Canis lupus familiaris: one gene and its partner. The main gene of each other region encodes a partner of the protein of the gene in region 2 in a complex. Links are inferred from orthologs where the notes say so. Each region holds a gene or a part of one and is shown on either strand. Other genes may lie near its edges.

What was found. Proteins that work in one complex are often made in the same cells at the same time.
Region 1: LRRC23 (region 2) and DYDC1 share a complex: the UniProt entries of both Homo sapiens proteins name them as parts of the axonemal radial spoke complex. The link is inferred for Canis lupus familiaris from reciprocal best matches to the Homo sapiens genes LRRC23 and DYDC1.

What each region holds. Positions count from the first base shown.
Region 1 is NC_049225.1:30,227,787-30,231,351, forward strand, and holds part of DYDC1 (DPY30 domain-containing protein 1), read right to left. Parts: intron 2,854-3,565; 5' UTR 2,845-2,853; coding exon 2,698-2,844; intron 2,220-2,697; coding exon 2,118-2,219; intron 1-2,117. UniProt on the Homo sapiens protein: Functions as part of axonemal radial spoke complexes that play an important part in the motility of sperm and cilia. Plays a crucial role during acrosome biogenesis.
Region 2 is NC_049248.1:7,958,850-7,962,879, reverse strand, and holds the start of LRRC23 (leucine-rich repeat-containing protein 23), read right to left. Parts: upstream 2,811-4,030; 5' UTR 2,674-2,810; intron 2,664-2,673; exon of another isoform or gene 2,451-2,663; intron 1,947-2,450; 5' UTR 1,926-1,946; coding exon 1,803-1,925; intron 1,710-1,802; coding exon 1,600-1,709; intron 1,204-1,599; coding exon 950-1,203; intron 379-949; coding exon 248-378; intron 1-247. UniProt on the Homo sapiens protein: Essential for sperm motility and male fertility. Plays an important role in the proper assembly of the third radial spoke (RS3) head and the bridge structure between RS2 and RS3 in the sperm flagella.

The sequences.
Region 1 (3,565 bases), on a different chromosome or scaffold from region 2:
GACACTCAGGCTCACTTGACTCAACGGTGACTTCAGAGCGTCTCTCTGTTTCTGTGCATCTCGGCCTCACTCTCTCTTAAGCTCTTCTCCTGTAGACCTTCTCTGCACAGGCTCCCTTTCCTTCTCCCGTCTATTTCTGGCCACCAAGCTGTTTCTTTAACGGTCATAAAATCTTCTGCAGAACGTTCTTGTTATCTTCCAATCCCAACACAATGCTCAGGGTTCAGTGTACAGTGGATCCCTTCACACCCATCAATAGGATACAGCTAGAGAAGTGCTTGATTTCTAGGATTGCCAAATTTTCGCTAAGTAAGGTAAGTAGAAGAGCCAAAGAAAGTTAAGTACCCCCACATTTGTGATGGAATTGTCTTGAGGAAGATGTTCTCCTCAGTCTGAGAGACAGGGGACAGATACTAGTTGTAGAAGCTGAAAGAGGAAGAGCAGATTCTCACTCAAAGTTGGGGCAATTCTGCAGCAGAATGTTTGCCCATTTGGATGATTGTTTGATATCTGGCTCCACGCTCTGCAACTTCCACATAAGAATAAACCAGGGATTCCTGGGTGGCGCAGCGGTTTGGCGCCTGCCTTTGGCCCAGGGCGCGATCCTGGAGACCCAGGATCGAATCCCACGTCCGGCTCCCGGTGCATGGAGCCTGCTTCTCCCTCTGCCTATGTCTCTGCCTCTCTCTCTCTCTCTCTCTCTCTCTCTCTCTCTATCATAAATTAAAAAAAATAAAAAAAGATTAAAAAAAAATAAGAATAAACCAAACGATTGAAAAATGAAGATTCAGGAGCAGTGAAGTTTTCAATAGCCTTATCTGTCTCGGGTGCCTAGAATGTTCTATCCCAGTAGCAGAGGTGACAGGTTAGGCAGAGAAGCTATTCGCCACGTCTATAGTTTCCTTTCTATTCACACACCCAAACAACAGGCTTCTAGACTGGAGTCGAGACCCTGGAGTTAAGGACCGTGTGGCAGAACAATAGGAATAACTTAGATCTAGTTCAGAAGCTGTCCATAAATTAAATTAGTCCAAAAGCCACTCTGGAACCTTCCCTGTCTAGTTTACAATCCATGACTCATCCCTGAAACCATTCTCTTCCCAGCACCTTCAGCTCCCCAACGTGCTACCCTAAACCCACGTCAGTCACAGGCGCTGCCCCTTGCACATCATCACTCAGGCCTTCAGGCCTAAGTGAAGAAAAATTACAGGATCATAAAACCAAACTAGCTGGCAACATTATAAATGCCTGGTCTCGGGGCGCCTGGGGTGCTCAGCAGTTGAGCGTCTGCCTTTGACTCAGGGCATGATCCCGGGGTCCTGGGATCAAGTCCCACATCGGGCTCCCCTGCAGGGATCCTGCTTCTCCCTCTGCCTGTGTCTCTGCCTCTCTCTGCGTGTCTCATGAGTAAATAAATAAATAATCTTTAAGAAAATATATGCCTGGTTTCTAACTCTGACAGGGTACTCAATGCTACCAGGTAATGCTAAGTTTCCCAGTCAATGCTACCATTCTACAAAGCTACTATTTCAAAACCATCACCACTCTCCCCGCACCTGCCATTTTATCGCCTCATTCTTGGAAGATGATCATCATCCCTACTTCATAAAGAAGAAAGAGTCATGAAGAAACTGTTTTAAACTTCGTGCCATAAAACCTATACACCCACATGTACCTAGACCATCCTCTCCCTCTTAACATCAACCCCCTCCTGCCCCTCTGCTCTTAAAAAAACCCAACCTCCTTCTCTGAAAAATCCCCTTGAAAGCATCACCTAAACTCACCATCTTCCCTGTTACATCCCACCCCCCACACACCATGGTCTTGAATGAGCACTTTGCAGTCTTGCTCTCACTCAACCAACAGTAGGCATGGCTGACCCCTTGGGTCTCTCCCCTTGACCTTCATGAGAGCACACTCCCTGGGTTTTCCTCCCACTCCACTGCTGCTGCTTCTCCGGCAAAGAAGACACAGATACAGAAACACAGGAACACGAAGATAGAAGAGAGCCACTGCTAACTAATTAGAGATGGGGAGGTTTTCAGTATTTGGGTTGCACCACACTGAGGCTGACAAAGCTCACTCCAGTGTCCCCCAAACTCCCATGCATGTCTCACCTGCTGAAACAGGAGTTCTTCGGCTTTGAGCCTCTCCATCATCTCCTGCTCAATCTCAGCTAGTTCTCTTTCCCGCTCCAAGTTAGCCATTTCCTTCTGTCTCTAGCAGGGTTTTAAAAGCAATTACCACATGACTAATTTGAGGCAGAATAATTTGTAAAAACAATCTTGAAAGAGTGTTAATCACCAATGACAGGGAAAAGGGGAAGCAAATTTTATTCAACCATTTAGAAAAGGTGCAATAATTTGGGGAGATATGTGTTTTATTTGAACAAAGAGCATAAAATTACAATTATACATTGGGTATGATCATAATTATGTAAAAAACAAAATCTACAAGTGCATAGGAAATGTACAGAAAAAAGACTAGAAGAAAATACCTAAAAATCTAAAAAGAAATCTTCTCTGGGGTATTTTTTATTCTTTCTGTTTTTTTTTTCATATTGTCCAAGTTTCTTCTATAATAAACATACTTACTATTTTTATAACAGAAATAACATTGAACTTTTTATTAAAAAAGTAGACAAACTGGACCAGTTATCTTATTCTTCTAATTTTCTAAAAGAAGATCCCTACTTACCAGTTGCTCCATGGTCACATTTTCCTTATATTTATAAATCCACAATGCTAAATATTCTATTGGATCCACTGGGCGAATTCTTGCCACTTCTGCAAGACCTTGAGTTAGACATGTCCCAAGGTGCTTTTGCAGATATGTCGACTCCATTTCTCCCCCCTGATTTCAAAAAGGTAAATGTTTTTGCATTAATGCAGGAAATGTTCAGTAAGTCACACTAAAAGCAGAGTCCAGTGAGGCCAACGGAGCACTGCATCCTGTCATGGGCACCTCCCACCAAGGATGACACTAGCAAGCTGGCTTGGTGAAACACCTAACAATTTCCAAAAGGACTCCACCGATGTCACAACAATTACCACTACTAAGAAGCACTTTCAAAATCCTGTAGGATCTCAAGGTTGAGATTCAGAAATGAACAACAAACATAACCCCCAACCAGCAAAGGGAAGAAAGTAACAAAGGTTAGAGCAGAAATAAATGATAAAGGAACTAAACAAAAAAAGATGAAAAAAAAAGTCAGAAAAAAGGGTACCGTCATGACTGTGAGACGGCCATGTGCCAAGCAGGGCATGTCTCACTCAATCCTCACAACAGGGGCCAAAAATCAGTGTCATCAGCCCACTGTGCGGGTGAGGAAGCCCAGGCGTAAGGGGCGTAGGTCAACGTGGTGAACATGGGATTCGTACCCAACTCTTGATTCCAGAGTCATAATCTTTGTGACCCAGATGTTCCTCCCAAGCCACGAGGGTAGTTTTAGAAAATCATAATACCCATAATATCATAATACTCTACCTCAAAAATAAAAACAAACAAACAAAAAACCCCAAAAGTCCATGAATCTCCAAGGACAAAAAAGTAAACAAAAAAATTC
Region 2 (4,030 bases):
CAAATTGTCTCTATTCTCATGTATTATGCATTAGCAGCCCTGCTAGGTAGTAAGGATCTTGTCTGTTTTAATTTTGCATCCCCACAGCATCTGGCACCAAGTGAGTGCTCAATAAATGATAATGATAAATGAACCAAATGATCGTGATGATGATGGTGTTAGTAGAGCCTACTAGAAGCCAGGCATCCTGGCCCCCAGAACACCACCCTTTTCCCTACACCAACCACCCTCTAACCCAGCGAGCTACCAGGTAGAGGTTCTTCAGCTTAGGAAGATTGATTCCCAGAGTGCTCTCCAGCTGGTTCCCCCGAAGCTCCAGTGTGTGCAGGCTGAGCAGCTTCTGGGGGTCCAGACCTGTCACCCTGCGGATGCGGTTCCCTAAGGAGCAGGAGAGTGTTAAGAACTCAGAGGACCGCTTCAAATGTTCAGCAGCAGAGCCTGAATGTTGGGAGCCTCTGCATCATCCTCTCCCTCCCATATGAGGTGGCTATGAGGAGGGACAGCTCCAGACTTAACACCTCTGGGGCCCTGGGGCACTCCTCCTCCCTCAAATCTTGGCTCAGATGTCAGCTTTTCAATGACCCTTGTCCTAACCAACCTGTTTGCAGTTGCTACCTGTGCCTATCTCTAGTCCCTTTATCCTAATCTATTTTCCACCACACATATCTCCTCTTAACATACTCTATAGATTTACTTAGTTATTACGTTTACTGATAGTTGTCTGTCTCCCCCTGACTAGAATGGAAGCTGTATGAGACTAGGGATTTTGTTTGTTCACTGCTACATCTCCAGCACATAGAAATGTCATAATGGAGCATAAGGACTGTCTGAATGAATGGATGGATGGATGGAAATTGCTGTGTGGCACAGCCAAAGACCACACTGCCCACTTCTGTTGGCCCCAAGCTAGGAAGGAGAGAACCTTGTGTAGCCCAACTTAAGGACCTACCTTTGAGATCCAGGCTGCCCAGACGAGGGTGAGAGATGCCCTCAGTGTCAGTGATCTGGTTATGGGCAAAACTGGCAACCTGCAGGTAGGGCAGTTCATTCAGCTGGGCACTCCGCAGATTGTTGCCATCAGCCTTGAGCCAGAGCAGGTGGGTAAGGTAATTGAGTGGCGACAAGTCTGTCAGGTGGTTCTCAGAAACATCCACATAGCGCAGATGGATGTAGGAACGCAACAAGTAGATGTCTGTCAGGTCCCTAAGAGATGAAGGAGGCCAGAGTTAGGGTTAAGTACCCAGTAAGGAGCAGAGGTGCTAAAGCAGAGGACAATGTGGAGATGGAGAAGAATGGGTGACTGATGGGAGTGGTGAGGGAGGAGGAGAGAAGATAGGTGGGTTCTTAACAGTGATCAGGGGCATATGTCTGCAAAGAGCCGAGAACTGACATTCTGATGGACAATTGAAGGAGTCCAGTAGGAATTCCCCAGGCTAGCTCTAATGTGGGGAGTCACAGGGCTCTGGAAAAGCAAATTCTATCCTTCCCTTCCACTGGCCAGAGTAAGAGAGATCCAAACTCCCAGCAGCAACACCCAGGAATGAGGGTGAGAAAGGAGATTGGGCCCTACGACGGCAGCCTGGTCCTCCATAAGCGCACCTCTCTTTAACCTCCAGCTTGACATAAGCATGAGCCAGTCCATTGCCTGTCTTACAGAGCAAAGAAAGCCCTTCCTTCAACATGTCCTCTGTGAGTGGCGTGGGCATCCACTGCAAGAGGAAGTGGAATCAGGCATCCCCTTCCAGCCCAACCCCATCCCTTAGCCTTAGGACCCCACCAATTCCAGGATTTCATGCTCTCACTTCCTCTGAGTACTCCTCTCCCTCCTTCTTGTAGTCCTCCCACTCCTCTGTTTCCTTCTCATCATCTTCCTTTTCCAGATCATCCTGATCTGGCTCGAAATCTTCCAGGTCTTCATCTGACATCTTTCTTCTCTGCTGACGACTCTGGAGTAACAGATCAAGCTCAGTGCCCCTCCCAAGAAAGAATGTCTGTCTCCTCGGCTCTCTGATCCCTTGCCTCCATTGACGGGATACCCTTCCCATCCATCATCCCTGACCTCCTCCCAACTGCGTTTCTCTCCTTATCCCTGCGAACACCTCATTTTGACTCCCAGCCTCCACTTCTGATGTCCCACCAAGGACTTCTGTCCCTTCAGTACGCCTTTCCAGGCCTTTCCAGCCCTCCAGCGGGGCTCCAACTGTCTCATTGTAGCTCCGCCTCCCTGCTTCTTGGCCTTCTCCTCCCCAGTTCTTCCCACCTCCTCCTTAAGCCACGTTCCCCTACCAACCTCCTACAACCCTCTCCTCCTTTCTATTCCTAACTCATGCTCCATTCATTTCTTTTTTACTTTCCCACCCTAACTAGCCCCATTTCCCTGTCCCCTCTGGGGCACCAGACTGACGCAGTCTCCAACCCTCCCACCCAATCCTTCGCAGAGGGGCGCAGACCCTGGCTCTGCTCCGCTAAAGGTGAGGTTCCGGAGAGGGTCTTGGCTCTGACTGGGAAAGGTTGTTTTGGAAGAGGGGAAACGCTCAAGGAGGCGTTGTGTACTGCTGTTATGGCAACGAGGGGGCGGGACACTTGGCTACTTCTTTGGGGCAACCGCTGAGAGGAGGGCCTCGAGGGGCCCGCGACAAACTGAACGGAAAATCCGCCCCAGAGCAAGCGGACCTTTAGTCGCCGGGTAAAGAGGCCAAATTCCCAATCCGATTACAAGCGTTAATTGGCAGGTAGCAGGAAGCAGTGGGTGGGGCTTGGAACTGAGAAGTGGGAGGGGAGATGGGTGGGGCTATGCGAAGTCACTCCAGACGTTAAAGGGACCGCACATCCTCAAAACAAAAGTATTGTGAATTCCAAAGAAATATGCTCTGAAGCTAAAGGGGGAAGAGGAGCAAGAAATCCCAAGGTACGTGGTCTGGTTTCTACTCCCACCCCAGCCTTGCACTCAGTTGATCTTTGGAAGGTGGCTTGGTGGAGTGGAAGGAGCCCAGGCCAATGTACCTTAAGACCTGGGTTGAAGTCTTGGCAGATCTGCAGTTCACTAGCAGCTTACCTAAGACTACTTTCTCATCTGTAAAATAGGCTTAGCTACACCAACTGAGGGGTATGAGTGCGAGCGTAATCTATGCTAGTACATTGTAGATTGCTAAACCCAATCTACAATGGGTTGGGTTGTAGATTGCTTCTCACTTTTCCTCATAACTTGGACTAGTTTGATACAAACTTCTTGGGGGTGCTAATAAGAGAGAAAATCCAACAAGTGCCCAATGAAAAACTCTTCATCCAACGTTGTTATATAGACAACAAGACCTGATAGAGCCATGCCCAGGCACTCAGGTCTGTGTGACTTGTTGAAAGAGATGAGAAAAAAGTTAAGATTCAACAAATATTTCCAGAGCATTTGTGTCAGATACTGTATGAGATGCTTTCACAAGTGATTTAATTTTTACATCAATCCTGTGAGATAAATACTTGAAAGAAGAGGAAACTAAAGCTCAGGGCAGTTAATATTTATGACACAATTCCTGCCGGGAGAAAGGAAGACAGTACCAATCTTTTTTAAAAAATATTTTATTTATTTATTCATGAGAGACACAGAGAGAGAGAGAGAGAGAGAGAGAGAGAGAGGCAGAGACACAGGCAGAGGGAGAAGCAGGCTCCACGCAGGGAGCCTGATGTGGGACTTGATCTGGGGTCTCCAGGATCACACCCTGGGCTGAAGGCGGCGCTAAACTGCTGAGCCACCAGGGCTGCCCCAAGACAGTACCAATCTTATGGAATCTAATATAAATAAAACAATTAGGCAACAAGGTAAGAAATCATATGATTGTTAAATTGTGTGTTACAGATATTATAAAACACGCAAAGTGATCTAATGGAAGATGTGGTGGGCTGGAAATCAGGACATGTTATCTCCTGCCCTGTCCAGCTTGGATAATACAGACAAATCTGTTTGAGGGACGCCTGGGTGGCCCAGTTGGTTAAGCGTCTGTCTTCTGCTCAGGTCGTGATCTTGGGGTCTTGGGAT